Linked DNA regions of Stegostoma tigrinum. The protein of the gene in region 2 interacts with the protein of the main gene of each other region in a biochemical or structural test. Links are inferred from orthologs where the notes say so. Each region holds a gene or a part of one and is shown on either strand. Other genes may lie near its edges. The genes, in order: syt1a and ston2.

What was found.
Region 1: the proteins of ston2 (region 2) and syt1a form a complex in vitro, tested with the Homo sapiens proteins (2 studies listed by BioGRID). The link is inferred for Stegostoma tigrinum from reciprocal best matches to the Homo sapiens genes STON2 and SYT1.

The regions. Positions count from the first base shown.
Region 1 is NC_081371.1:61,642,384-61,658,110, forward strand, and holds the start of syt1a (synaptotagmin-1a), read right to left. Parts: upstream 8,397-15,727; 5' UTR 8,165-8,396; intron 1-8,164. UniProt on the Homo sapiens protein: Calcium sensor that participates in triggering neurotransmitter release at the synapse. May have a regulatory role in the membrane interactions during trafficking of synaptic vesicles at the active zone of the synapse.
Region 2 is NC_081363.1:9,664,420-9,680,407, reverse strand, and holds the start of ston2 (stonin-2), read right to left. Parts: upstream 5,856-15,988; 5' UTR 5,683-5,855; coding exon 5,641-5,682; intron 5,538-5,640; exon of another isoform or gene 5,441-5,537; intron 4,438-5,440; exon of another isoform or gene 4,262-4,437; intron 1,517-4,261; exon of another isoform or gene 1,336-1,516; intron 1-1,335. UniProt on the Homo sapiens protein: Adapter protein involved in endocytic machinery. Involved in the synaptic vesicle recycling. May facilitate clathrin-coated vesicle uncoating.

The DNA.
Region 1 (15,727 bases), on a different chromosome or scaffold from region 2:
CCCTAGCTACTGTTGGTTCTGAAGAAGGGTCACTGCAGTCAAAAATCTGTTTGTCTCTCCACATTTGCTGCCAGACTTGCTGAGTTTCTCCAGCAATTTCTGTTATAAAACATGTTACACCAGTCTATCAGCTCAAACTGACGGTTTTGGCCGACTCACTGTCTACACACAAAGGCACGCAGTGATGATGGTGATGGGATTTTGGGTGGATGGCGGGGGAACAGGGATAGAAATCATCAAAATCATGAAAAGGAACATGCCTTTTCTTTAAAAAAGACTGAGTATTTCTAATGCTCGAAAATAAATTAATCCATGATGTTATTGAATGGCAGAAGTGGGCTGAATGGCCTACTCCCGCTCCTATGTTCGAAAATAAATTGCACTTAATATAATGCACCTAGTGTAGGAGAAGCTTCATGATGCTATTAACAATGAGTGAGAATGGGGACCGTTTTGCAGAACACCTACACTCGGGTCGCAATAAACAACTGCACCTCCGAGTCATGAACCATTTCAACTCCCCGTCCCATTCCTTAGATGACATGTCCATCTGGGGCCTCCTGCAGTGCCACAACGATGCAGGAACAGCAACTCATATTCTGCTTGGGAACCCTGCAGCCCAATGTTATCAATGTGGATTTCACAAGCTTCAAAATCTCCCCTTCCCCCACTGCATCCCAAAACCAGCCCAGCTTGTCCCCGCCTCCCTAACCTGTTCTTCCTCTCACCTATCCCCTCCTCCCACCTCAAGCCTCACCTCCATTTCCTACCTACTAACCTCATCCTGCCCTCTTGGCCTGTCCGTCCTCCCCGGACTGACCTACCCCCTCCCTACCTCCCCACCTGTACTCTCTTCTACAGGCTCTATCCCTGCCCCTCTAACTTGTCTGTCTCCTCTCCACCTGTCTTCTCATCAATCCATCTTTGATCCGCCTCCCCCCTCTCCCTACTTATTTCAGAACCCTCTCCCCATTCCCCTTTTCTGATGAAGGGTCTAGGCCTGAAATGTCAGCTTTTGTGCTTCTAAGATGCTACTTGGCCTGTTGCGTTCATCCAGCTCTACACTTTGTTATCTCGGAAGACTCTACAGTGGCTGAAACACAGCTTAGTCAAAGAGAGTCACCATGTCAAGAACCATTAAGAGATGTTTGAAGTAGAAAAGTAAAGGGGTTTCCAGAGATTGGGGTCTGGACTATGGGAAGCCTGCTTCTTATTGGATGTGTGAGTGACCAGAATCCAGAATCTCAATGGATACATAAAGGGGATTAGATGGAAACATCTTCATCCAAAAATCTCAAAACGAGGACTGTTGTGCCAGAAGAGGTGATGAAAACTAAATTGATTACATCATTGCACATTGTATTGGTTCTATTTTAAGAGGATTACAATTGGAGAAAGCAGAATAATAAAATGAGAAACCAGCCCATTGGAGAAACTGAAATTCTGCACAGGCAACAGGGGATGAATGACCCTTTGTGTTTTTAGTTTAAAGTGCTCTTAGGATGTTGATGTTGTGGCTATTTATCAGCCAACCACAATTTCCCAAAGAAGATTGTGTTTATCCTTCCTCCTGAAGCTGTTTAGTCCACGTGGTGAAGGGTTTCACATCCATGTGAATTTAAACTGAAGGCTAGTGCCTCGGGGAGAAATAGTTCCAAACGTCAGACAAAAGATACATAATCAAATAAATAATGTCAGCAACATTGGTTTAGTCCAGCATTTCACCAAAGAAACCTGGATATGGGAGCCCAAATACCGTGGGTGGTACCGACAGCCTTTTGGAGACAATCTGTCAGAACCTTTGTAGAAGTAAATGCAATCTTAAATTCTTAAAAACAGAAATAAAACAGATCTCTCTCTCTCTCCTGCACTGACAGCTGTCGGCACACAAATGATTTGATTGACCTCATGACAAAGCTTTAAAACGCCAGGGGTTGAAAAAAAACTTCAGAGAGCAGAACAAGAGGGTGCCCTGGATTCTTGATCCTAATCCAAAGGATCTATTAATAACACAAAACATCTGTCACACCTTTAGGAGCTGACTTTTACATTTCACATTCCATTTGTTTGATATAAATAAAACTTCATCACACAATAAATTGTTGTGCATCCACAAATTAGTCTGCAAAATATTTCTTTTGACGCTTACGGTGAAGTGTTTTGTACACGTGTGCTTTATGATAAAATAAAACAATTAAGTAACAAAGTCAGAAATAGACATCCTTCTGAATTGCACACATTTTCACATGAGAGTTACATTTACAGGTGAAATAATTGTTCAAACCTCAAACTTGCCAGGTTAAAACCACGGTACGATAGAATATTTATAACACAGGAGCGGGGTCTGTCAGCTCAGTGTGTCCTTTGTATTCAAAACAAAGCTTCTCCCATCTTTTTGCATCTCAGTCTATCAACATCTCCTTTGACACCTCAACTACTGATAATCCAACATCCACTTACATGCATCTCGGAAGTTCCACATTGTCACCACGCTCTGGGCTGATGGTGTTTGTCCCATATTCTCAGCTGGATTGGTTTGTAACTGTACCAGTTGAGAGAGATCTCACTTCCACCACAGCTGGGTTGGGCATCTATGACCCATGCACCTGACACCGATCTGAATGACCCTGACCATCTAGCCTTGCATTCAATGTAATCCACGTACATGGACAAAGTGGGTACTCTTGTTCCCCACAATTACACCAGCAGCTCATCCACTCACACACTTAAGCCAATCCATTCACTCAACTCTTCAATCTCTGGTGCATATGCCCCTTTCATTTATCGGTCCAGTCATCCATCCCCCCACTCATCAAAGCAATGACCCTTGAACATCTTTCACCCATGCACTCTTCTACCAACAAACCATTCACGCCACGCCACCATCATCCCATCCATCTTCATCCCCATCCACCTCAACACTCATCCACCTCAACCCTCGTTCACCTCAACCCTCATCCACCTCAATCCCCATTCACCTCAACCCCATCCACCTCAATCGCCATCCACCTCAACCCTCATTCACCTCAACCCCATACACCTTCATCCCCATCCACCTCAACCCTCACCCAACCTAACCCTCGTTCACCTCAACCCCATGCACCTCAAACCCCATCCACCTCAACCCTCATTCACCTCAACCCCATGCACCTTCACCCCATCCACCTCAACCCTCACCCAACTCAACGCTCGTTCACCTCAACCCTCATTCACCTCAACCCCATCCACCTAAAACCCCATCCACCTCAACCCTCGTTCACCTCAACCCTTGTTCACCTCAACCCCATCCATCTCAATCCCCGCTCACCTCAACCCTCGTTCACCTCAACCCCACCCATCTCAATCTCAGTTCACCTCAACCCTCGTTCACCTCAACCCTCACCCAACTCAACCCTCAAAGAACAAAGAACAAAGAAAATTACAGCACAGGAACAGGCCCTTCGACCATCCAAGCCTGAACCGATCGAGATCCTCCGTATAACCTGTCATCTATTTTCTAAGGGTCAGTGTCCATTTGCTCCCTGCCCATCCATGTACCTGTCCAAATATATCTTAAAAGACGCTAAAGTGTCTGCGTCTACCACGTCCGCTGGGAACGCGTTCCAGGCACCCACCACCCTCTGTGTAAAGAACTTTCCACCCATATCTCCCTTAAACTTTCCTCCTCTCACTTTGAACTCATGACCCCTATTAATTGAGTCCTCCACTCTGGGAAAAAGCTTCTTGCTATGCACCCTGTCTATACCCCTCATGATTTTGTAGACCTCAATCAGGTCCCCCCTCAATCTCCATCTTTCTAATGAAAATAATCCTAATCTATTCAACCTCTCTTCATAGCTAGCACCCTCCATCCCAGGCAACATCCTGGTGAACCTCCTCTTCACCCTCTCCAAAGCATCCACATCCTTTTGTTAATGTGGCGACCAGAACTGTACACAGTACTCCAAATGTGGCCGAACCAAAGTCCTATACAACTCGAACATGACCTGCCGACTCTTGTACTCAATACCCCGTCTGATGAAGGAAAGCATGCCATATGCCTTCTTGACCACCCTATTGACCTGCGTTATCACCTTCAGGGAACAATGGACCTGAACACCCAGATCTCTCTGTTCATCAATTTTCCCTAGGACTTTTCCATTTACTGTATAGTTCGCCCTTGAATTAGATCTTCCAAAATGCATCACCTCGCATTTGCCCGGATTGAACTCCATCTGCCATTTATCTGCCCAACTCTCCAGTCTATCTATATTCTGCTGTAATCTCTGACAGTCCCCTTCACTATCTGCTACTCCACCAATCTTAGTGCCATCTGCAAACTTGCTGATCAGACCACCTACACCTTCCTCCAAATCATTTATGTATATCACAAACAACAGTGGTCCCAGCACAGATCCCTGTGGAACACCACTAGTCACAGGTCCCCAATTTGAGAAACTCCCTTCTACTACTGCTCCCTGTCTCCTGTTGCCCAGCCAGTTTTTTTATCCATCTAACTAGCACACCCTGGACCCCATGTGACTGCACTTTTCCCATCAGCCTGCCATGGGGAACCTTATCAAACACCTTACTGAAGTCCATGTATATGACTTCTATAGCCTTTCCCTCATCAATCAACTTTGTCATGTCCTCAAAGAATTCTATTAAGTTGGTAAGACATGACCTTCCCTGCACAAAACCGTGTTGCCTATCACTGATAAGCCCATTTTCTTCCAAATGGGAATAGATCCTATCCCTCAATATCTTTTCCAGTAGCTTCCCAACCACTGGCGTCAGGCTCACTGGTCGATAATTACCTGGATTATCCTTGCTACCCTTCTTAGACAAGGGGACAACATTAGCAAGTCTCCAGTCCTCCAGGACATCACCCGTGTCTAAGGATGCTGCAAAGATATCTCCTAAGGCCCCGGCTATTTCCTCTCTCACTTCCCTCAGTACTCTGGGATAAATCGCATCTGGACCTGGGTATTTGTCCACCTTAATGTCTTTTAGGATACCCAACACTTCCTCTTTCCTTCTGTCAACTTGACCTAGAGTAAGGAAACATCTATCCCATCCTCAGCATCCGTCATATCCCTCTCCTTGGTGAATACCGAACAAAGTACTCGTTAAGAATGTCACCCATTTTCTCTGACTCAGCGCATAACTTTCCTTTTTTGTCCTTAAGTGGGCCAATCCTTTCTCTAGTTACCCTCTTGCTCTTTATATATGAATAAAAGGCTTTGGGATTTTCCTTAACCATGTTTGCCAGCAATCTCTCATGCCCTCTCTTAGCCTGCTTAATCTCTCGTTTCAGATTCACAATCCCTCGTTCAGATTCAGAACTCTCGTTCACCTCAACCCTCATTTACGTCAACCCTCATCCATCTCAATTGCTATCCACCTTTACCCCATCCAGCTCAACCCTCATTCACCTCAACCCTCATTCACCTCAACCCTCATTCATTTCAATCCCCATCCATCTTAATCCCCATCCATCTCAATCCCCATCCACCTCAACCCTCATTCACCTCAACCCTCATTCACCTCAACCCTCATTCACCTCAACCCTCATTCATCTCAATCCCCATCCATCTTAATCCCCATCCATCTCAATCCCCAACCACCTCAACCCTTGCCCAACTCAATCCCCATCCACCTTCACCCCATCCACCTCAACCCTCATTCACGTCAATCCCATCCAGCTCAACTCCCATCCACCTTCACCCCCATCCACCTCGACCCCCATCCATCTTCAACACCACCCACCAGAAACCACCATGCTTCATTCAGCGTTATTGCACCAAGGTGAAATGAACCATGAAAGGAACCGTTGGATACTCACTCAGGGTCCTCTTTGGTACAGTGGTAGTGCCCCTACTACTGAACTGGGAGGCCCAGGTCCAAGTCCCATCTACTGCAGAAGAATGTAATAACATCTCTGAACAGATTTTTTTGAAAATATTTAGGATCTTCACTGAATCTTTGTGGGACTTCAGTGCGTGGGATCAAACTGAAGGAGATGGAAATTACTACACAATGTGTTTGAGTGGAGCTCAGGCCCCTGGTGGGTTAGTTTCTGGGATGGAGTTGGCAGCAGTTAGAAACTGTGTGACTGAGAGAGGAAGTATGTGTTCTGATCTCTCTTCATAGTGCCCTGTTTCTCAGGAGGCTGTGCTGCATGTTTGACAGACCTACCCAGGTCACTCTATCAGAATATTTGCCAATATCAAACGATGAAAATTCCTTCTCGTGTAAGGGCAGTGACCTGGGGAGATTCTGACTCTCGGTCTCTGTCTCTCTCACTAGTTCAGTGGAATCTGATGTTCTCTGGTTGGAGTTTGGAGGCATTGGGAAAACTACTCTGTATTTCCTGCTGAAATTAACACCAACAGTAATGGGGGGGGGGGCAGTGCGGGTGGAGAAAGTAAGATGCTGTTGCTGATACAATTGTCTGCTCTTTCACTGGGTCCAGTCAACCTGTAGGAGCCAAAGTAGTGGGACTCCTGTTCCTGTACAGCTGTATTTCAGGGTGACAGACTCAGCGCTCCACATCTCACGGGAGATTAATACATGGTTATAAATCAGTGTATAAATATGGATATGGCATACAGGCACAGAGATCAGAAGATCAAATCAAGTCGAAAACTCCTTGTCCTTCACACCGTCTGTTCGGAATTCCACTCCCACTGTTCGGAATCCGGTCTAAATCCCTGGGAATTAACCGCAGCTCGGTCCCCAGTCCCCAGCCCATTCCAGGGGAGGATCGGCAAGGTGTACAAATACCCCCAGCAACTGAGCAAAACCGATTCTCCCCGGAGATGACCCACAGGCTTGGCCGAAATCCTTTGCCGCTGGTTTCCGGCCATTCCCCGACATCTTTGCCCTGGCTCCTTCTCCCAGGATTGAGCATTCTCCATGTTCCCGTCTTGTATATGTGTGCCAGTGTGTGTGTATGTGCCAGTGTGTGCCATTATCAGTGAGTGTGTGCCAGTGTGTGTGCCAGTGTCAGTGAGTGTGTGCCAGTGTCTCTGTGTGTGTGCCAGTGTCTATGTGTATGCCAATGTGTGTGCCAGTGTGTGTGCCAGTGTCTGTGTGTGTGCCAGTGTCTGTGTGTGCCAGTGTCTGTGCATACCTGTGTGTGTGCCAGTGTCTGTGTGTGTGCGTGCCAGTGTGTGTGCGTGTGTGTGTGTGTGTGTGTGTGTGATTGTGTGTGTGAGTATGTATGTGCTGGTGTGTGTGTCAGTATGTGGGCATATCTGTGTGTGTGAATCAGTGTGTAATTGTGTGTGTCACTGTGTATCTATATCTGTGTCAGTTTGAGAGATTGTGTGACTGTGTCAGTGTGTGGGAGGGAGATTGTGTCTCTATGTGTGTCAGTGTGTGGGAGATTGTATGTCCACTGTGTGTGTGTATATGAGATTGTGTGTCAATGTGTGTGAGATTGTGTACCAGTGTGATTGTGTGTGTGTGCGTATGAGAGAGAGAGATAGAGAGAGAGAGAAAGTGTGTGTGTACTGATTAAATTACAACTAGTAGGCAATCAATGTGCTGTTTCTGATAAACACCTTTTGTGAATTCATTGCCGATTTGGAATTGACCGAGATGAACACAGTAAGCGGACTGACTGAACCCAACGGAGATATGCTCCACCTACGGCGGACTCTCACTAAACCAGGGCAGACATTCAGCGAGTGTTGGACAGAAACAGAGGAAATCTCTTCCTCATCACACACACACAGCCCTAACACAGCAATAGCAGGAACAACACACCGAGCAAATGAAAGATGACATTTGTTTTCGCGTTCTCCCTGATGGAGAGTGGCAGAGACGAACACACACACACACACACACACACACACAAAGGTTTACAGTCAGTATCAATCCCACTCCTCTGGTCACAGTTTCTCCACCTCAACTTTCTGGGACACACATAGTCCCGCTCCTTCCCCTCTGTCACCCGCCTCACTGACTCGCAATGATTCGGGTGAAGGGGATATTCCTGATAGAGCTCAGGGAACACAATCCTGAGCTGACACGTTCCTCCCATTCCGAGAGGGAGCATTCATTAGACTATAGTCCCTTCCCAAATATAAACCAACCCCAGCAACAGGGTTCCTGCCAGTCACACTTTCAGCATGGACAGAGAGAGAGGGGGACAGCTTGGGAACACAACATCTCTTACCTGGAATGATGTCCTTTATTTTGTTTAAAATAAACAGAAAATCTATTTAGCTGAGGCTGCCTGAGGAATAGAGACACACAAATTACAAGGAATGCACTTTTTTTTCTCTCTCTCTCTCTCTCAGTTTCTCTCTTGTTTGCTCCTCACGGCCAGGCTTTGCAGAGATTTGGTTCCAAGTGCTGAGAGTGAAGGGTTTTATACTGCGGGAGACAGGGGGGTAACCGTCACTTTAGCAGAGAGACACTGCAGCTCTCAGGAAAGCCTCCAGTGAGAACCTACTGCATCACTGAGTCCTTGTGTATGATTGGACACAGAAAAGTGCTGCCTCGCATACCTAATCCAGCAGCAAGAAACAGGGACACAGCTCCATTTCGTCTTCTCTCACACACACACACACATTGGAGAGAGTTCCCGCAAGAGGCGCCCGCAGCACCCAGCTCAGTCTTCCAGGAGACAGGTGGGGAGCGAGGGTGGGGGTGTGGGGGTGTGGGGGTGGGATCTAGATAGCCCCCAACCCTCTGCCCTGACTGCTTCCCTTCACCCAGAGGGTCTCACTACTCTCAACAATACCACACCACCAGCGACACTAACAGAAGCAAGCAAAGGGGAGGAGAGATTTTCAGTCAGGGATTGTTGCTATGAGGGTATGGGGATGCTGTCCCCGAGTTTACCTGGAGTAGACCTGAAGCTAGATGTTTACTGTGGGTCTGAGCTCCTTCAGGTCCCCAGCCCAGAGCCAGCCAGGGGTCACGCAGTGGAAGTTTATTGGCTCGGGAGCACAGAGCTGGGGACTTGAGTTTGAGTTTGTAACTGCACAAAGCCATCCTGCACATCCATATCTAGGTGGGCATCATGTGACTAAGAACATTGCCCCACCTCACAGTACTGTGTTTCCAGCAGCTGCTTTTCAAGCATATTTGGTTTGGACCTCTCTGAACCAGCTTGAGAATCAAATCCCAGCTGCCATTTCAGTTCTGAGGGAGTCCTACCCTGTCACTGGGGCCAGAACACCAATCACCCTCCTCCAGTAACCAAAAAATCCTGGCACACTATTCAAGACAGAGTTGGGGAGAGTTACTTCATGGGGTCTTGCTACACACAGTTAGGACCAGACCCCAGGCTCATGATGGGATACAGCTAAATCCCTGGGTGAGGAGGCATGACCAGGCTCTCCCTCTTTATTCAACCACACCCTCTTCCCCCAAATAGTTCCACGGATTAATTAAAAAAAGATGCATTTCTGTATTGGAAAGATTGCACCTGCCTGGTGATGAGACACATGGTGTATGTTTTCAATTGTGACCAGTTTGTACCTTGTCCACATAACCCAGTGCCTGCAATTTATATCACAATTACATTGGATTTTGGGGTGATCACAACTAGATTACACTGTGCAGTTTTGCTCTCCATTTCTATGAATCTTGGAGGGTGAACAATGAAACTTGACTGGATGTGTTGAAGCTTGACACCATCCAGGACAAAGCAGTTGCTTGATTGGCACCACATCCACAAACATCCCACTCCCTCCACCACCGACGCTCAGTAGCAGCAGTGTGTACTGTCTACAAGATGCACTGCAGAAATTTACCAGAAATCCTTAGCACCTTCCAAATCCCTAACTACTTCCATCAGAAGGACAAGGGCAGCAGGTACATGGGAACACCACCCCCTGCAAATTCCCCCTCAAGCCCCTCACCATCCTGACTTGGAAATATCTCACCGTTCCTTCACTATTACTGGGTCAAAATCCTGGAATTCCCTCCCTAAGGGCATTGTGGGTCAACCCACAGCACATGGACAACATCGGTTCAAAAACACAGCTCACTACCACATTCTCAAGGGGCAACTAGGGATGGGCAATAAATGCTGGCCTGGCCATGAATGCCCACATCCCATGAGCGAATGAATAAATGTGGTATGAGGTGAATAGATAGAATTAAGGTAAAAGATCACCTGCTATCGTAACTGAGGATGCTTAAGGGGCCAAGTGACTAACTCCTGTTCACAATTCTTACACTTTACACATTTTATGAAGTGAATCTCCCACTGACTGTAGCTGAATGCTCAACAACTAAATTCTATTCCCGCAATCTTTGGAAAATTAAAATTGTGTTTATATGACTTTTGTTGTTATCTCTTAGTCTCTCTCTCTCTCTCTCTTCTCTGTGTCTTTCTGTCTGATTGTGTCTCTTCACTGATTCGTTTCTTTCTTCCTGTCTGTTTCTCTCTATCACTTTCTCTCCCTCTCTCTCTCTTTGTCTCTCTTCCTTTCCATCTCTGTCTCTCTGCCTCTCTCTCAGTCTCTTTGTCTCCCACCATCACTCTCTCTGTCTGTCTTTCTCTTTCTGCAATCTCTTTTTCTCTGACTCTCCTCTCACTCTCTATCCTCTCTGCCTCTCCTCTTTCTCCTCTCTCTCTGTCTCCATGTCTCTCTCTCTCTGTCCTCTATCTCTCCCCTTCTGGCTCTTCCTTTCTTCACTGTGTCCATCTCTTTCTTTCTCTCCCTCTCTCTCTCTCTCTCTCTCTCTGCATCACCCCATCCCTACTCTCTCTCTCCTGCCTCTCTCCTCATTACACATATGTTATGATGACTTCAGCCAAATATTCCTCCTGGGCACAGGACTGTTGCCAGCTTCTAACTCAGTTTTCAAAAAAGACTGTTCATCTATAAATAGTGCATTGGCTTATGTTATAAATGAGGGACCTGTGTGGGTTGGGGGCTGTGCAGTGTTTGTAAATTTACTCTGAATGAAGTATAACTGCAAACTGACTCCCCCGAGTTACACTGCAGAACAGGAGGCATTGCTGTGAATTCCACTCCTGGTGAGAAGGCTGCGTGCAGAGAATTTGCTGAAGCGATTACATAAGAATGTTAAAAGATTCACACGTGTACATCCTATCTCTCACACACATACAAATAAACACACTCACATACACTGTGTCAGCGATACAGAGACTCATCCACATGTTCACACTCTGACACACTGTGCACCTGCTGACAAATACGCACACCTACTAACACACACCGACTTGCATAGTGCATCTGTAGTCAGACACAATTCCAGATTGCACATACATCCAACAAATCTCTCACATGGCTGCCTGTGCATACAGTCTCTTCTTACACACACACACACACACACACACACACACATACTCTCTCTCTCTCACTCTCTCTCACAAACATACATTCATAGTCACACAAACTCTCTCACACACAGACAGACAAACTCTCACACACACTCTCACACTCTCTCTCACACACAGACACACACACACTCTCACATACAGGCCCAGTCTCTTTCTCACACACACACACACACACACACACACACACACACACACACACACACACACACACACACACACACACGCTTTGATCCTCCTGATGTGACAATTCCTCCAGGATCCCTGCTGATGTCAGGATGCTAACCTTGAGAGGTTGGAACTCTGAGATATGTCCTAAAGGGGATTCATATATTAACACGAAGGCGAGGAATTTTAAGTCACAGTTTCTGCCATTTTTGGCCACCACCTTCTATCAAATACAGGATGTCAGTTTAATTGCATTTGGTTGCTGTTGCCTGGTAACAGGAAGGATATATAGTTTTTGAAAATTTATTAGCCCAGTGTGCAATATGACAGAATAATAAATTAAATACGTGAACTACAAGATATCACCAGTTTTAATCTAATGTTAAATGTCAAATGAAATTCCAAACACAGACCTTCACATCTCCAATCAAGTTTTATTTAGTTATATTATACAGAATTACTTTCAACAACAGCATAGTGTGGTGTGTTCAATGTGTGTGCATAATTATGCTCCATTAATACTGTAACTTGTGAGAAAGCAGCTTTAATATCTCCCACTTTTGGAGATATTTTCTTAACCATCGCGCATGATTGGCCTCAACTTTACATTCTCAGATAAGTTTAACGTCTCCAATGCTGGATTATCCCATTACAATGTTACATTGTTGATCTGTTAACATTAACATCACCTGCTGATTTATTCTGATCTCTCCAGCTTTCAAGGTTATAAATTAAGTGGCACAGTTTTAAAGACAGTGCAAGAACAGAGGGACCTGGAGGTTCACAAACACAAATCTTTTAAAGTGACAGAGTAACGAATGAGATTGCTGAAGCGACAAATGAAATCTGTAAGCCTTTAGGCCTGGAAGTGTACAGCACAAATGGAAGGCATTTACAGAAAACCTTTATCCAGTACTGGCCTGACCTCATTTAAAGAATTGTGTTTAATCCTGGTCACCACACCTTAGCAACGATGCCAAGACATTGTTAGAGGTGTAGAGGAGATTTACTCGAATGGGACCAAGGATGAGGGACTTCAGTGAATGTGGAGAGACTGAGTAACTGGGGTTGTTCCACTGATAGGAAAGATAGTGAGAAGAAGATCCGAAGATGGTGTCAGTTTGTGTCATTTCTGACTTTTAGAGTTTGCTTTTTGTTTTCTGCGTTCAAAACGAGGAAGGATTTTGATAAAATAAATATGGAGAAAACCATTACCAGTGACCAGGGGGTCAGGAACGAGAGGAACAAAAACAGAAGTTGCTGGAAAATCTCAGCAGATCTGGCAGCATTTGTAGTGGGGAAACAGAGTTAATGTTTCAAATCCAGTTACTGTTCTTCAGAACCCTTCTTCACTGGACCTAGAACATTAACACAGCTTTCTCTCTCCACAGATGCTGCCAGACCTGCTGAGTTTTTACAGCAATTTCTGCTTTTGTTTCTGATTTCCAGCATCCACAGTTCTTTTGTTTTTTTTTGTTTAGCAACCAGCGAGATTCTGATGTAAGATTACGGGTAAAAGAACAAACGCGAGATGAGGAGAACTATTTTAACTGAGTGTGTTTATAAAATCATAGAAAATCTATGAGACAGAAGGAGGCCATTTACCCCATCATGTCCATGACAGTTACCAAAGGGTGATCTAGCCTTGTCCTACTATTCTGCACTAGGCCTGCAGTACTGTTGTGATCTGGGAAGTGCTGTCTGAGAGGGTGTTAGAGAAAGACTCAATAGTAACATTCAAAAGGAGAAAAATGCACAGATTTGGAAGCTAATACAGGGAGAAGTGAGATTAATTGGATAAGGAGATGGAACTGACGTGATGGGCTGAATGGCCTCCTTTGGTGCTGTGTCATTCTATAATTCTATGAGACAAATAAAATGAAAATTTTACCAAAACTAACACATTGTCCAGAGACAACGGCATAAATACTGATAAATTTTGCTGACTCTGTTAGAGTCTCACAACATTGAAATCCTATGGAAATGTTTTACAATAAAAGAAACAATTTTGCTTTACTACCATTGACAAGTATGTTATTGTTGTGTCAGAGTTCAGGTTGTGACAGAGTGTTGGTTCAGTTCAATCTATTATATTGAGATATTCTGCCAATTTCTTTGGGTGTTGCATCTTCAGGTCAGCATGATGGCAGGGCGGTGACTTATTGTCTCTTCAACATTTTTACAGGAGCCTCAATATATTTTGACAACAACCTTTATTTACAGTCATTGATCCACACTCACTCAAAGTGTCTCCTCCATGCAATCTCTCTCCAATTCTCACTCACTGAATCACACTGGGAGCGAGAGAAGGAGGACAAAAAAATGAAGGAGAAGGAGGAGGAGAAAAAGGAGCTGGAGAGGACACAGTGGGATTACCTCCGCACCAGTGACAATGCGACTGAGGTAATGCTTTGAGGGCAAGGCTCAAATCCTAGCACGGCAGATGGTGAAATGTGAATCAACTAAAAATATGGAATTAAAAGTCCAATGATGACGATAAAAACCTGTTGTAAAAACATGCTGAGTTTGCTAATGTACCTTAGGGAAGGAGTCTACTATCCTTACCCAGTAGGGACTACACTACAATACACTATGGACACTGAACTGCCCTCTGGAATGTCTGGCTAAGTCACTCGGTTGGATCAATTGTCAGAAAGAGAAAGCAGAATGAAACCAGAAGAGATAACAAGAACCTCAGATGTTGGAGTCAGGGTCAACACAGTGTGGAGCTGAAGGAGCACAGCAGGTCAGGCAGCATCAGAGGAGCAGGAAAGTCAATGTTTTGGGTCTGATGAAGGGTCCACACTCGAAACATCAGCTTTCCTGACCCTCGGATGCTGCCTGACCTGCTGTGTTCCTCAGCTCCACACTGTGTTGACTCTGATTCCAACATCTGCAGTTCTTGTTATCTCTGAAAGAGCTATAAACCCACTGCGAAGCCTCTTCCAAGGATTCCCACCCTGAATAAGTTATCCTCCTTCCTCTGGAAAGATCTCAGTGAATCTCTCTCCCACTGCAACCTTCTGATGATCTCTGCCCTGAAGCTCAGAGACTACAAACTGAGACAGCCACATTTGGGCAGCACGGTGGCTCAGTGGTTAGCACTGCTGCCTCACAGTGCCAGGGACCCAGGTTCAATTCCAGCCTTGGGCGGAGTGTGCACGTTCTCCCCATGTCTGCATGGGTTTTCTCCGGGTGCTCCTGTTTCCTCCCACTGTGCAGGCTAGGTGGATTGGCCATGATAAATTGCCCAGGGATGTTTAGGTTAGACGTGGGAACTGCAGGGGTGAGGGAAGGGGCCTGGGTGGGATGCTTTTTGGAGGGGCAGTGTGGACTTGTTGGGCTGAATGGCCTGTTTCCATGCTGTAGAGATTCTATGATTCTACCTTCTTTCTCAGTTCCAGCCTATGCAGCCTGTTCATACCCCATGGACTCCAAACAATGTTCAGACCATCCCAGTTCTGATGAAGAGTTCGGACTTGAAACATTGACTTTCTTGCTCCTCTGATGCTGCCTGAACTATTGTTTTCCTCCAGCTCCACACTGTGATGAAACCAGAAGGACCACCTGGCACCAACAGAGGCCCTGAACCTGCCCTGTCCTCATTACTAACAACAGTGGGCAATCCACCTCGGCCTCCTCCAGTGTTCCCCAGCATCACAGATACCAGTCTTCAGCCAACTCCATTCACTCCACGTGATACGAAGAAACGGTTGGAGACACTGGATCCTGCAAATGCTACAGGCCCTGACAACATCCCAGCAATAGCACTGAGGACTTGTGCTCCAGAGCCTGTCGCTCCCCTAGCCAAGCTGTTCCCGTACAGTTACAACACTGCTATCTACCTGATAATGTGAAAAATTGCCCAAGTATGTCCCATACACAAAAAGCAGGACAAATCCAACCCCTCTGTGACTCACAGTGATTCTCCATTGAAGTAAAACCCTACTTTGTTTTTTTCATACCAATGTGAACAAGTTCACATTTTCCAAGGTAACATTACCCTCTACCTGCCAGTTTAGGTCTGTGCAAATTCTGATACTTCCATTTCCTTTAGAAAGCGTGACCATATCGGAACACAATCTAGTAGGAGATAACAAGGTGTAGAGCTGGATGAACACAGCAGGCCAAGCAGCATCAGAGGAGCAGGAAAGCTGACGTTTCGGGCCTAGACCCTGACACAATCTAGTAGGAGTGTAATTGATGGAATTACCCTTGTTCTTGCATCTTTTTAATTTCTTCTTTCAC
Region 2 (15,988 bases):
GTTCTGGAATAAATAGGGAGAGAGGGGGAAGCGGACTGAAGATGGAGAGAAAAGAAGATAGGTGGAGAGAGTTTAGGTTGGGAGGTAGGGAGGGGATAGGTCAGTCCAGGGAAGACGGACAGGTCAAGGAGGTGGGAAGAGGTTAGTAGGTAGGAGATGAGGGTGCGGCTTGGGGTGGGAGGAAGGGATGGGTGAGAGGTAGAACAGGTTAGGGAGGCAGAGACAGGTTGGACTGGTTGTGTGGTGCAGTGGGGGAAGGGGACGAACTGGGCTGGTTTAGGGATGCGGTGGGGGGAAGGGGAGATTTTGAAGCTGGTGAAGTCCACATTGATACCATTAGGCTGCAGGGTTCCCAAGCGGAATATGAGTTGCTGTTCCTGCAATCTTCGGGTGGCATCATTGTGGCACTGCAGGAGGCCCATGATGGACACGTCATCTAAAGAATGGGAGGGGGAGTGGAAATGGTTTGCGACTGGGAGGTGCAGTTGTTTGTTGTGAACTGAGCGGAGGTGTTCTGCAAAGCCGTCCCCAAGCCTCCGCTTGGTTTCCCCAATGTAGAGGAGGCCACACCGGGTACAGTGGATGCAGTATACCACATTGGCAGATGTGCAGGTGAACCTCTGCTTAATGTGGAATGTCATCTTGGGGCCTGGGATAGGGGTGAGGGAGGAGGTGTGGGGGCAAGTGTAGCATTTCCTGCAGTTGCAGGGGAAGGTGCCGGGTGTGGTGGGGTTGGAGGGCAGTGTGGAGCGAACAAGGGAGTCACGGAGAGAGTGGTCTCTCCGGAAAGCAGACAGGGGTGTGGATGGAAAAATGTCTTGGGTGGTGGGGTCGGATTGTAGATGGCGGACCTCCTCGACCTGTCCGTCTTCCCTGGACTGACCTATCCCCTCCCTACCTCCCCACCTATACTCTCTCCACCTATCTTCTTTTCTCTCCATCTTCGGTCCGCCTCCCCCTCTGTCCCTATTTATTCCAGAACCCTCACCCCATCCCCCTCTCTGATGAAGGGTCTAGGCCCAAAACGTCAGCTTTTGTGCTCCTGAGATGCTGCTTGGCCTGCTGTGTTCATCCAGCCTCTCATTTTGTTGTCAGGGACAGGAGGTCATGTTTTCTGGAATTGTGACTAACTGCAGCTGCACAAGGCCATCACCTTGACAACAGTTATCAGATTGGTGCCTGGCTAGCTAAATAACCTGTTAGGGAGGAAGATATTGGCAAGGAGATTTTGACTGTTGAAAGGGCAGATGGTATATCTGTCTCTATCTCGCTCTTTTTCTCTGTCTCTAGTAAAGTACCCAAAGCCTGAAGAAAGCCAGTTTAATTTCCACTTACCAGTTGTTGTAAGCTGATGCTTTTAACCAATACATCAGACTTTATAATTTGTGAAGCAGTTGCTCTGTGCCTGCTGTGGATAAGTGAAAGAACTGAAGGATTTGGGAATCCTAAGGACCGACATCATTGAACTCATTCCCCAGCACTTTTCCACTCTGCTCACAAGGCCAATGTTATTTATCTGCATTTATGTGTAAGGAAATTTTAGAAGACATTAGTAGTTACAATGTATTTACTTGTAATAAATAGTAACTCTTATCAAGAACAGAAACCTGAACCATATTTACTGTTCACCCAAGTCTAACAGATAATTTGGAAATTTTCTACTTTAATGCAATTTTTATCTATAATGACGACTCTGGGAATTACAAAGGCTTAACTTCCAGCTCACTACCCAGTGAGGTGTAACAGATACACACATTTCCAAGTCAGGAATACAGCGGGGAAAAAAATCCTTAGCTCAAGCAAAACATTCTGCATGCTCCTGAGAAACACCTTGTATACTTCACTGTGTTAAAGGTACTATATAAAAATGCAAATTTGTGTTGATATAGTCAGCATGAGGTGCATTCCTCAGCATTCCCATTACCTACAAAGGTCTTCGTCACTAATGGCCAGACATCAAGAAGCAGATGTCTGTTGGAAATATAGTTCTTTCAAATATCATCACCGGTGGTGATTCTTGTATTTACATAGTACCATAAAACATTCCAAGTGCTTCACAGAGATCAGAGTTTTAAGGACCATGCCCCAAGATAACTCTACATCCTTAGTTTGCTCAATTCAATCTTATTTCAAGCTAATGACAGCAAAATAGTGTATGTTTCTACATTTGTGCAATTCTAAGAGTAGATTTCTTCAAAAGATTCAATTAAAATAGTTTCTACCAGTGACTTTTTATTTGTCGAAATGTATGTCTTGCATTAAACTAACTAACTGAAATACATGACCTGTCAGAACTCTTTCTTAAAAAAAGAGCTCAGGGGTATACACCAAGTGTTCATGTATTTTTCCAGTATATAGTTCAAAGTTCAGTTCTGGGTTATCTGAATTTGTTCATTCTGCAAGAGGCTGATAATTTTTGGATCATACAAAACAGGCCTGCCTTTATACTCTGCCTTATTAGTGTGGACACGAGTGAATTGGGAAAAGGTCCATTTACTGCCTGTTGTAATATAATTGGAATAAACTCAATTTCATATTGACCCATCCCTTAATAGAATTGGAGGGGCTTGCCATGAAAAAGCAAAAGCAAACAATATTGCAGGAAAGAAAAATAGTGTACATGCAAAGGGTGTGGTTGATAAGTGACAGAACTAATCAAGCTCTAAATGACAGAATGCATGACTTCATCTATTTAGAAGTTACTTCACAATTCACTGTTTCTTAGTTAAAAATCTCATGACTTTAAAGTTTAGGTCTTTCACATTTTGGAGGCATAGCTTATTATAATTCATAAGATATTTTGAGTTATATGCTCACTTCTACAGCATTTACTACTTTTAAAAGACCCTGTAAAATTTAATAGCCAGGGTATAGTTATTTTATCTCTAAGCCAACAAACATTTTCTTCTGAAGATTCACATAGAAGTGATCATGAAAAGAGGTATGGGGCAAGTGTAACTGGTGAGCACTACTGGTTGCTCATTTTATAATGGATTGATTACAGAACTTGGTAACAGTTCTCTTTTTGGTTATCAGTTACATAGACACACTTATTCCTCAGCTGCACTCACTTTTTTCCTTAAGCCTGTTTTTAAAAAACAATTAGGACATTACCAGCTTATTCACTATATTTACTTTACAGAAAGTGTAGTTGCACTCAAAAGGGAAGTATACTGAGATAACAAGGTGTAGAGCTGAATGAACACAGGCCAAGCTGCATCATAGGAGCAGGAAAGCTCAACTGTTAAAATATCTTTAACTTACATAAATAAGGTATCTGTAGTTACATGTTTGTCTCCATAATTTTCTGATATTATGGTTCAGAACTCCCTATTTAAAACTATTTGATCTAAAAGTTCATGTCATTAGGATTTAATTTAGACAAGACTTATAGAAAGCCTGGAAACAGAAAAGTGTATTTAAATTAATAGTTGAAAGGGTTGAGAATGTGCTTATTATATTCAGATGTTTCATTGGAATATTTGGCTAGTTTTATTACAATAGTAAAAGTAAGATCTTCCTTACATTTTTAATCAACAAATCACAATCTTTCCAGTGCAACTCCATTTGCAATATCAAACAAAAAAATCACAAACCTATTCATATCTGTAAAACACAACTTTAGTTGTGAACATGATACAGAAACATTTGGCACCTTGTCTTAGTTGCTTACAATGTGAAAGTGCTAGTTCCCCAAGTTTCAAAAGGAAATAATCTTCTTTACTCTGCAGCATGTACACCAACAAGTATTCTCAGGAAAATTAGGCATTCTATACAATTCCAACTAGCTGCACAAAAATGAGACAATCCTTCTGTTTCAGCAGCTTCAAGACAAACTTTAGAATGGGTTTGGGGATAAGGAACCATAGATTGCAGAAGTTAATTACTGGGATACATTTTCAGGAGCTGTGTTTCCCCTCAACTTGAAGTCACCAATATTCTAACTTTATGTGCTGAACCTCCACAATGATTACAGACTATTTCTGACCACAACGAATTACAATAATACCTTGATAATATTCAGACAGCAAGCCAAACTCTTCACTTATCTTATGCTTTCTTGGTGGTTAGTTTGGAATTTCTTATTTTTCCAACAGCTACATCACAAATTCTCTAAAATTCATATTCCAAGAGTAATAAATATAATCCTTAGGTAGCTCTTAAATAAAGTTTACTTATGTAAATATATCTTAATGTTTTCTTCTGCGGTATTGCTACGTGTGTGTCCATTTCAACCACATTTATGCAAATTTTCATTTACTTTTAGCTTGAACATTTAAAAGCATGAAACCGAATTCACAAGGCCGGAAACGTCAGCTTTTGTGCTCCTAAGATGCTGCTTGGCCTGCTGTGTTCGTCCAGCTCCACACTTTGTTATCTCGGATTCTCCAGCATCCGCAGTTCCCATTATGTCTGATCACAAGCCACTCATATCAGCTATCAAAATAAGAAATCAAAATAAAACTGGGTCCTTCTCATTAGCAGCAGTTGAGAATAATTTGCTCACTGAATCAATCATGCTATATTTTACTGTTGGGGAACGCTTGTTTTTTCAGTCTTTAATTTTCCAGAAGATCTGTTGCATTGCCTCCTTTTCATAAAATTTTAATTCTTTTAATTGCCAGTTTTGTTATTTTTAGACCCCAGATTAAACTTTTCTTTAAAGACAGGTCAACGGTAAAGTAGACGCAGAAAACACTTGAAATAGCATTCGCACGTTTTTGTAAACAGATTCTGTACGGTTGATTTCATTCAACAAATTTATAAATAACAATAAGGACTTCCTAAAGTTTATTTTTTCATTAACTGTTAGAGTTATTTGTACTTTATAAGCTTCCTCCATAAGTCTTCTACCTAGAGAACTTTTAGAGGTCCACAGTGAGGACAGCAGATGGTGACATCGATATGAAAAGTTGAATAGGGAATCATTAGAAGACACAGTGATTAAAGATTTTTTGGAACATTGTTTCAGTTATTAACGGGGGGGGGGGGGGAAGGAGTTAGCAAAAGGAAGCACTTTGGGGCGTAAAAGGAGCTGCTTGGTAACAATGCTTCCAGCTCAGTCACTTGCGCGATTAGCGCACTTTTGGAGGAAGACTGCTCATTCGAAATTTCATAGAACCATTCCGGGAGCTTTACTTCGATTCTGGATAGTGTGCCATTTCGATTTAGAAACCAACAAACCAAAAGAACTGCAGATTCTGGGAATCAGAAACAATAACAGAAATCGCTTGGTAAATTCAGCATCCTTCGCGAAAAAGCAGAGCTGACGCTTCCAATTTGTTCGCACTCCCATCACGATGTTCAAATAAACTGGAAACCAAATTTCCTGACCCATTAACACGACAGCCATAAATTGAGAAAATACTTAGAACTGTGTACACCCTCACGATTATACTCCGACCAAAAGTCGACAATGATCACGAAAAAAGTTTCGGACCTCGAAACAGGAGAACTGGAGTTGGCCGCAAATTGGCATCTGACATGGAGAAGGAAAGAGAGACACTAGGACCCTACAGCATCCACGATGCTCACACGGCGCAACCTGCTAGCACAAACACGCCAGAGCTGCTGGGGAGGAGACAGGGGAGGAGTGTGGAAGTTTTATACATAAACAAATAATTCATATAGAACACCTACTGCATATAATCGAACATTCACCTCGATCTGGCATACTGACATTTCCGGACTCCACCACCGCCTCCCGTGTTTAAGTTAATGCGTCGCACCGCCCTCCGCTCGAGCTGAACAAACGGCCGTTTCAAGCCAACATTTAAAAGGCTCGAGAGCCTGAGCCGCACGCTCCCGGCCGTTGCCTAGACACACCCGCCCTCACTCGAAACCGGCTCCCCCCATTGGCTCCGCACGTCTGGGGCCGCTGGAAGGTCGACATCGACGCCACGCCTCATTTCCCCATTTCGGATCCCATTGGCCGTGCTCCTTTCCTCCACGATTGGACCATGGACATCAGCGCCCTTTGATTGGTCACTTGATGAGCCGCGAATGGAGATGGGTCCAGGTGGATGTCGATGCAGTGTATAGCCAGAGAAACACAGCAGGTCCAGCAGTATCAGAGGTGCAGGAAAGTCGATGTTTCTAGTCGGGACCCTTCTTCAGAAATGGGGAGGGGGAAGGGAATGAAAGTAGGGAGGAGGGGTGGGGCTGGGGATAAGTAGGTGGGGTGGTAATAGTTGGATTCGGGTAGGGGGAGGCGGAACAAAAACATTCTGAGGAAGGGTGCAGGATTGGAAACATTAACTCCGATATTTTCTTCACGGTTACTGCCAGACCCGCTGAGCTTTTCCAGCAACTTCTGTTTTTGTTACTGATCTACAGCGTCCGCAGTTCTTTCGGTTTTTATTTAGGGGCTGGTGGGGAGAAAGATGGACGGGTTGTGTCAGGCCAAGGAGACAGTTGGACATAAGATAAGATTGGGGAATTGGGAGATTTTAAAACTGGTGAATTCGATGTTCAGGCCATTGGGCTGTAGGTTCCCAAGGTGGAATGTGACATGTTACTCATCCAGTTTATGTGTGGCATCATTGTGGTGTTTGAGGAGGCCCAGGACAGACATGTCATAGAATCATAGAATCCCTACAGTGTGGAAACAAGCCCTTTGGCCTAAGTCCACACGGAACCTCAGACTGTCTCACCCAGACCCATCCCCCTATAACCCATCTAATCTACACCTCCCGGAACACTACAGGCATTTTAGCATGGCCAATCCACCGAGCCTACATATCTTTGGACTGTGGAAGGAAACCAGAGCACCTGGACGAAAGCCATGCAGACTCGGAGAGAATGTGCAAACTCCACATGGACAGTCGCCTGAGACTGGAATTGAACGCAGGTCCCTGGCGCTATGAGGCATCAGTCCTAACCACTGTGCCACCCCATCAAGGGAGGGGGAGGGAGAGTGAAAATGAAAATGGTTAGTGACCGGAAGGTGTTGTCAATTATTGTGTACAGAGCACAGATGCTCCACAAAATGGTCCCCCCAGAAAAGAAGATTGTTGCAAAAACACCGAGCGGTGTTTGATGGATATAGAGAAATAGTTTCAAGATTGATGAGATTTGCGCTCGTCTGCTTCTTAACCCCTCACCCATCTTCGGAATGATCACTTGGGATTTATTCATCTTGTGTGGGTAATTCTGAACTATCAAATGTTTTGTGAGGCAATTACATGCAATGGTTAGGTGAGAAGCTCCACCTATTAGGATATAATGGACAATTCATGGCAGGATTTCATTGCTAAGTTTGTGTCATTAATTAATTGTCTGTGTCATTAATGTTAACATTAATACATTTGTGTTAAATATAGTCTAAACTTAGAAAACAAACTGTCATGTAATACTGATGTAATGTAATTAGGAATTAAGTCTTATATAATAAATCTGTTATGTTTAACAAGATTAAGCCTCTGTTCAGCCAAAGACTTTTTGTAGACAGCTTTCCCCACATTGTGTCAATAATTCAAACTAATATCGGTAAAAAGGGTTAGTGTCGGTGAATCTACCTGGTGCATTTCAGTTAGCTCTGATAGCCACAACCCAAGAGATACCATCTTAGCAGCGATGATATCTGCAAGTATATCATTAGTGCACAAAGGTGTCCATGTACAAAATTTATGCACAACAGTCCAGGCCAACACTCCAATGGGGTGTTCAGGGAGTGCTGCAATGTCCAAGGTGCTATCTTTTGAATGAGATCATAGCCATTAACATCATTTACGCCTTAGGTGGAATCAAAAAGTCATTTTAGACATGATCAGGGGCTTATCTGCAATGCCCTGACCAATATTCATCCTTCGCTCATCAGAAAAGACAAATTATTGGGTCGTTAACATCCCACAGTTTTCAGAGCAAACTAATTACTGGTGATGTACCCTCTAAGCCATGTGTTCAAAGTTGCAAACAGACCTTGGAGGCCTGCACAGTGGCAAAATAACAATGGAGAGAATGCTGCCTAAAGGTATCACATTTCCAACAGCACCACAGTGTCTATGGTTCAAATGTACATAATTGGCTGTAAAACACTTTGGGATATCCTGAGGTTAGAAAAAAAGTATAGAAATGAATGCCTTATTTTTTTTGTGCAAATTTGGTAAACCGGTTAAAAAACAATTCAGCACATGGGATGAGGCTGGGGATTGGGAGATTTTAAAACTGGTGAATTCTATGTTCAGGCCAGAGGGAGACTTTTATTCTGCCCAACATGCTCATGTCAGCTCTTTGAATGAGCTATCCAATTTGACCCATGCCCCTGTTATTTGCCCAGCCCTGAATAAGAAGCAATTTTGTACTCAAGATCTTACCACATCTTCAGACACCCAGCCCGCTACATGCCCAAAGACGTATGGACTGGGAATTGGACTGTTAAGTTACATGAACCTTTGTTGTCAAGTTATTGATCTTTTCTTATTAATTTATTCTTATTAAAATACTGATTTTGAAAGCCTTTTGCCCTTAACCTCTCTATCTGAGAGCAATATTAGATTTTATCGCATGGGGATTGGCGTGCAAAGGGGAAGAAATGATGATTTACTGGATCACACTCAATCTGGAGCATGGTGTCTAATTTTGGGCAATTCAGTCAGAAAAGAATGGCTTTGGAGGGGATGAAGTTGAGTGAACTTCAGACAGTAGAGAAGGTGAGATCACACCTGGGAGAAGTATACCCCAAGTACGTATATTTCTGTGATTTTCAAGCAATGTCGGTATTCAGTACAAATGGGGAGAGGTGTATTTTGCTTTATTCGGTTCATAATTTTGTAAGGTATTTTTTAACAGGATAAATTGAAGCCCAGGATCAGTGGCTAGCACAAAATAATCACAGGAAAACTGTAAATTCATTGGTTGGTAATAGCTGGAGGTGATGGGCTAGTGGTATTTGTTGCTGGACTGTTAATCCAGAGACCCAGATAATATTATGGGGACCTCGGTTCGAATCTCACCATAGTAGATGGTGAAATTTGAAATCAATAAAATATCTGGAATTAAGAGTCTAATGATGATCATGAAGCCATTATTGATTATTGGATAAACCCATTTGATTCACTAACGTCCTTTATGGAGGAAACTTCCATCCTTACCTGATCTGGCCTACATGTGACTCCAGACCTACAGCAATGTGGTTGACTCTTAACTGCCCTCTGGTCAATTGGGGATGGGCAATAAATGCTGCCTAGACAGTGATGCCCTCATCCTGTGAATGAATAAAGGAAGAACAAAGCTGCTAACTTGACTATTGATGATAAACTTCTTTCAGATTAAAAAGTAAATGGAAAAAAATATTTTGGGGATTAAGCACCAAAAGACCAGTAGGAATTTTTTTAAAGTTAAGAACTAAGTGAACAAAATAAAGATGTAGGCCCAGATGAGACTTGGGATGACACAGGGGCAGGAATGTTTGTTGGATCTTCCAGGGTTTAGATGTTTCAAAAGAAATAGGGAGGTAAAAGAGGTGGAGAAATGGCATTGCTAATCAGGGGTGGCATGACAGCTGCAGAAAGGGAGTTCGTGGAGGAGTGTTTGTCTACTGAGTCAGTATGGGTGGAAGTCAGAAACAGGAAAAGATCAGTCACCTTATTGGGAGTTTTCTATAGACCTCCCAATAGCGACACAGACACTGAGGAACAGATTGGGAGACAGATTGTGGAAAGGTGCAGAAGTAATAGGGTTGTTGTCGTGGGTGACTTCAACTTCCCTAATATAGACTGGAACCTCCTAAGTGCAAATGGTTTAGATGGAGCAGATTTTGTCGGGTGTGCACAGGAAGGATTTCTGACTCAATATGTAGATAGGCCGACTAGAGGGGACAACCACACTGGATTTGCTGTTTGGCAATGAACCGGACCAGATGTCAGAAGCCTCGGTGGGAGAGCATTTCGGTGACAGTGATCACAACTCCCTGACCTTTACTACAGTCATGGAGAGGGATAGGAGCAGATGGTATGGAAACGTATTTAATTGGGTGAGGCGGAATTACGATGCTATTAGGCAAGAACTGTGGACCATAAATTGGGAACAGATGTTCTCAGGGTAATGCATGACAGAAATGTGGAGTTTAAGGAGCAGTTGCTACGAGTACTGGATAGGTTTGTCTCACTGAGGCAAGGAAAGGATGGTAAGGTGAAGGAACCTTAGATGATAAGACATGTGAAACATCTAGTCAAGAGGAAGAAGGATGCTTACTTCATGTTGAGGAAGGAATGATCAGACAGGGCTCCAGAGGGCTACAAGGTAGCCAGGAAGATACTGAAGAATGTACCTAGGAGAGCTAGAAGGGGGTATGAAAAAGCCTTGGTGGGTAGGATCAAGGAAAACCCCAAGGCATTCTATTACAAATGTGAGGAACAAGAGGATGGCCAGAGTGAGAGTAGGGCCAATCAGGGATAGTGGAAGAAACTTGTGCATTGAGTCAGAGGAAGTAGGGGAGGTCCTTAATGAATACTTTGCTTCAGTATTCACCACTGAGAGGGACCTTTATGTTTGTGTGGACAGCATGAAACAGGCAGATATGCTCAAACGGGTTGGTGTTAGGAAGGAGGATGTGCTAGAAATTTTGAAAAACATGAGGATAGATAAGTCCCTGGGCCAGATGAGATATATCCAAGGTTACTATGGGAAGCAAGGGAAGAGATTGCTGCCCCTTTGGCAATGATCTTTGCATCCTCACTGTCCACTGGAGTAGTACCAGATGATTGGAGGGTGGCAAATGTTATTCCCTTGTTCAAGAAAGGGAATAGGGACAATCCTGGGAATTACAAACCAGTCAGTCTTACTTCTGTGGTGGATAAATTATTTGAGAGGATTCTAAGAGATAGTATTTATGATTATTTAGAAAAGCACAGTTTGATTAGAAATAGTCGGCATGGCTTTGTAAGGAGCAGGTCATGCCTCACAAGCCTTATTGAATTCTTTGAGGATGCGACAAAACAAATTGATGAAGGCAGAGTAGTAGATGTGATCTATATGGATTCTGGCAAGGCATTTGATAAGGTTCCCCATGGTAGCCTCATTCAGAAAGGAAGGAGGCATGGGATCCAGGGAAATTTGGCTGTCTGGATACAAACCTGGCATGGTAGTAGATGGAAAGTGTTCAGCCTGGAGCTCAGTGACCAGTGGTGTTCCACAGAGATCTGTTCTGGGACCTCTGCTCTTTGTGATCATTATAAATGACTTAGCTGAGGAAGTGGAAGGGTCGGTTAGTAAGTTTGCTGATGACGTGAAGGTTGATGGAGCTGTGGATAGCATGGAGGGCTGTTGCAACGGGACATTGACAGGATGCAGTGCTGGGCAAAGGAGTGGCAGGTGGAATTCAACCTGGAAAAGTGTGAAGTCATTCATTTTGGAAGGTCGAATTTGAATGCAGAATACAGGGTTAATGGCAGGATTCTTGGCAGTGTGGAGGAACGGAGGGATCTTGGGGTCCATGTCCATAGATGTCTCAAAGTTATTACCCATGTTGATAGGGTTATAATGTATGATGTGAGCAGAGATCATGGGAACTGCAGATGCTGGAGAATCCGAGATAAAAAAGTATGGAGCTGGATGAACACAGCAGGCCAAGTGGTATCTTAGGAGCACAAAAGCTGATGTTTCGGGCCTAGACCCTTCATCAGAAAAGGAGGATGGGGAGAGGGTTCCGAAATAAATAGGGAGACAGGGCGAGGCGGAATGAAGATGGATAGACGAGAAGATAGGTGGAGGGGAGAATATAGGTGGGGAGGTAGGGAGGGGATAGGTCAGTCCGGGGAGGACGGACAGGTCAAGGGGGTGGGATGGGGTTAGTAGAGAGGAAATGGAGGTGCGGCTTGAGGTGGGAGGAGGGGATAGGTGAGAGGAAGAACAGGTTAGGGAGGCGGGAACGAGCTGGGCTGGTTTTGGAATGCAGTGGAGGGGGGGGGGGGAAGATTTTGAAGCTTGTGAAATGCTCATTAATACCATTGGGCTGCAGGGTTCCCAAGCAGAATATGAGTTGCTGTTCCTGCAACCTACGGGTAGCATCATTATGGCACGAGGACCAGGATGGACATGCCATCTAAGGAATGGGAGCGGGAGTTAAAATTGTTCACGACTGGGAGGTGCAGGATGTGTTGGCTTTCATTGGCAGGGGAATTGAGTTTTAAGAGCTGCACGGTTATGCTGCAGCTCTATAAACCGCGGTTAGACCACACATGGAATATTGTGTTCAGTTCTGGTTGCCTCATTATTGGAAGGATGTGGAAGCTTTAGAGAGGGCACAGAGGAGATTTACTAGAATGCTGAAAGGTTGAGGGAGCTAGGGCTTTGTTCATTAGCGCGAAGAAGGATGGGAGGTGACATGATAGAGGTGTACAAGATAATGAGAGGCAGAGATAGAACAGATAGCCAGAGACTTTTTCCCAGGGTGGAAATGACTATTACAAGGGGGTGTAATTTTAAGGTGATTGGAGGAAAGTATAGAGGAGATGTGAAAGGTCGGTCCTTTATGCAGAGAGTGGTGGGTGTGTGGAATGCACTGCCGGCAGTGGTAGTGGATACTTTACAGACTTTCAAGAGACTCTTGGATAGGCACACAGATGATAGTATAATGTAGGGTATGCAGAGTAGTTTCATCTTAGTAGGATCTTTAGCTCAGCACAACATTGTGGGCTGAAGGTCCTGTACTGTGCTATCTATCTCAAATTCAGTCAGGGACAGGAGGGTGTGACTACAAGTGAGGTAAGTAGAGTGAGAATCTTCCTGACTGTGTGGATGAGGCCTCTTCTGGAGTGCTGTGTCCAGTTCTGGTCGCCTTGTTATGGGAAGAATATTATTAAGTTAAAGAGGGTTCAGTGGAGATTTGCCTGGATGTTGCCAGGTACAAAATATTTGAGTTATAAAGAAAGGTTGGATAAGCTGGCACTTCTTTCACTTGGCTGTGGGAGGTTGAGAGGTGACCTTAGAGGTTTATGAAATCATGAGGGATATAGATAAGGGATAATGGGAACTGCAGATGCTGGAGATTCCAAGATAATAAAATGTGAGGCTGGATGAACACAGCATCTCTTAGCAGCATCTCAGGAGCACAAAAGCTGACGTTTCGGGCCTAGACCCTTCATCAGAGAGGGGGATGGGGGGAGGGAACTGGAATAAATAGGGAGAGAGGGGGAGAAGGTTAGTGGTAGGGTGTCTTTTCCCTAGGATATGGGATTTCAAGCCTAAAGGACATATTTTTAAGTTGAGAGGAGAGAGAGATTTAAAAAAGACATGAGGAGCAAATCTTTTATCTAGAGAGTGGTTCGTCTGTGGAATGAACTTCCTTAATAGGTAGTGGATGAGAGTACAGTTACAACATTTAGAAGATATTTAAATAAGTACATGAATAGGAAAGGTTTGAAGGGATATGGACTAGGAACAGGCAGGTGGGATGAGTTTAGTTTGGGATTGTGTTTAGCATGGACTGGTTGGTCCAAAAGGTTTGTTTCCATGGTGTATGACTCTGTGACTGAAATATTACGAGTATTTTCAGGAAGTCTGAACCAGAGTGGTTTTAGGGATACCTGTAGATGTGTTGTATTTGAACTTGTTTATTTGAAAATGTTTGACCAGGTATCTCACAAAAGGTTAAAATCAAAGGATAAGAGCTCACTCTGTTGGAGGTAGTATATTGGCATGAAGTTAGCAACCAACATCCAGAAGTTGTTTGTCTATAACATCCTTGCAGCCCCAAATCCACAGCCAGTCAATCTACTAAGAACAGTGGCCTAGCTGATCTCCTAGCTGATAATGGGAAAATAAATGAGAAGAGGGTAGTAAAATAAAAACATTAGAAATACGAGTTTGTGTATGGTATAGATCCCACTGAAACCTCTCCACTATTCAACAAGTTCGTGTGTGCTCCTCTTCCTCAATTCCATCTTCTGATCTTGTCTCCATAATCTCTGATTTTCTGAGTGTCCAAAAATCTATTGAACTTATTTTTGAATCTGCTGCCTCTCTGGGGTAAAGTTATTGCAAAGATTCACAATTCTCTGAGTGACAGAATTTTTCCCCTTCTTTATTCCTAACTGAGGAATCTGTTAGCGAGTTTTGAGAAGATTGGAAGCTCAGGTTGAGGTTCTGGGTGTGAGTTTGCTCGCTGAGCTGGAAGGTTCGTTTTCAGACGTTTCAGAGGAATCTGTTGTTTGTGACTAGGACCCTTGGTTGTCAACGAGTTTAGATTATCTCCAAATCTTCTAAATAACAGAATACAGGCTCAACTTCACCTCATTAGGACACCTTTCACCAGCAATCTGGTGAACAAACCTTTGTTTCACTCACTGTAAAGGTCTTCAAGGTATATCTGTCCTTTTGTAAGTAGGGTCAGTGTCCAAGTAACAGGAGCTGTGAGATGACTATAGGTTGTGGAATGAAAACAATGCAGGAGTAGGAGAACCAGCGCAAAAGAGTACTAAAGCAAAACATGAATATAATCACCAATCTGCCAGATGTCACACCTGTCCAAATTCAAATAAAAATTTTCAATTAAGTGATATCTTTAAGTAGAACACCATCCTGGGTCACTTTGGCAAAAAGGAATTGGACAAAAATCAATGCCAAGACAATGAATGAGATTTTCTGAATAGGTGATTAAAAACTAAGTCAGAGATGGGTTTTAAGGAGTGTCTGAAAGAGGAAATTAAGTGACAGAGTTTTGGATGAGAACAATTTCAGCATTTAGATGCCTGAAGGTGTGGCCACTGGTGGGCAGGTGATCTGAATGTTAGATGAGCAAGACAGAAGAAAAGACAGTTCTTGAAATCTTGTAGGGACTTTTGGGAAACAAGATCTTCTCGCACTTGCTCTTGAAAATAGAGAACAAATGGGTGAAGAAGAGGAGTATAAAGATACAGTTGGCTGATTTCAATGGGTGAAGATAATGGGGTGTCACTCCATTGACACTTAATTTTCACTTAAACTGAAGAATAATTTTACATCTAATATTCTAATATAAGAAAGGGATTAAGATTAGGGAAATATTGGCCTGTGCAGGAATTTACAAGAAAAATCAGAAGATGTAGTCCTCAGAACCTCCACTCCTTAATTTGTGCCGCCTTAAAAATTACTGCTTTCTAGTTCTATGCAGTTTGACATTACAGTGTGCCTGTATCTCAAATATCCATGACAAAATTAGAAATTGCAGGAAAAGATCAGCATCTGTGGAGAGAAATCAGAGTTAAAGTTTTGGGTCAAGTGACTCTTCCTCAGAACTAATATATTTCTATTTTTGTCTCTGATTTACAGCATCCACGGTTCTTTCAGCTTTTATCTCTAATATCCACAGCTCGTTTAAAAGAATCAATCATTTATTCAAATTTTCAGCTAACTCAAAAGGCTATATAAAAATTTGATGAGGCAATTTCCCCTCCATTCCATTCAAAGATAACTCTTACATAAAACAGGTCACAGTGGCAGTTAATCAAACAGTAAGGTCATATGTCAAGCTGTGGCCTTTGGAGGAAAATTTGAGCAGTGACAAAGAAACGTTGGCAATAAAAAAGACAAATAATGCTGAAGAACCTGGCATATGCTGAACCAGGTGAGTCAACACCTGCATTAGAGAAGACAGTGTAACAGTTTGGGTGGGAACCAGTATCTACTTGTAAAGTGAGTCACGACAGATTACCTTCAGACTTGTGGTTAACTGAGTCACTAATGGTTGGGATCGGGCCTGAACGATTGCAAAACCAGACATGTTGCAAGAAATAGGGGAGAAAATCATGTTACCGAAAACAATTATTCATTATGAAAATACTATGGATGCTGAAATTATAGAAACAGGAAATACTAGAAACTTTCTGCAGATCAGGCGCATTGTTGGAGAGAGAAACCCCAGGCGTTGCTTTTGGTCATGACCTTTGGGCCTGATAAGTATCACATGCAGTATTTTGTCGAGACCACACCAGATTTCAGTGGCCTACCTCCCAACCCACTGCTGCTTTGCACTTTTACAAAACAGTTATGATACTTGGTGCCTAGCTGT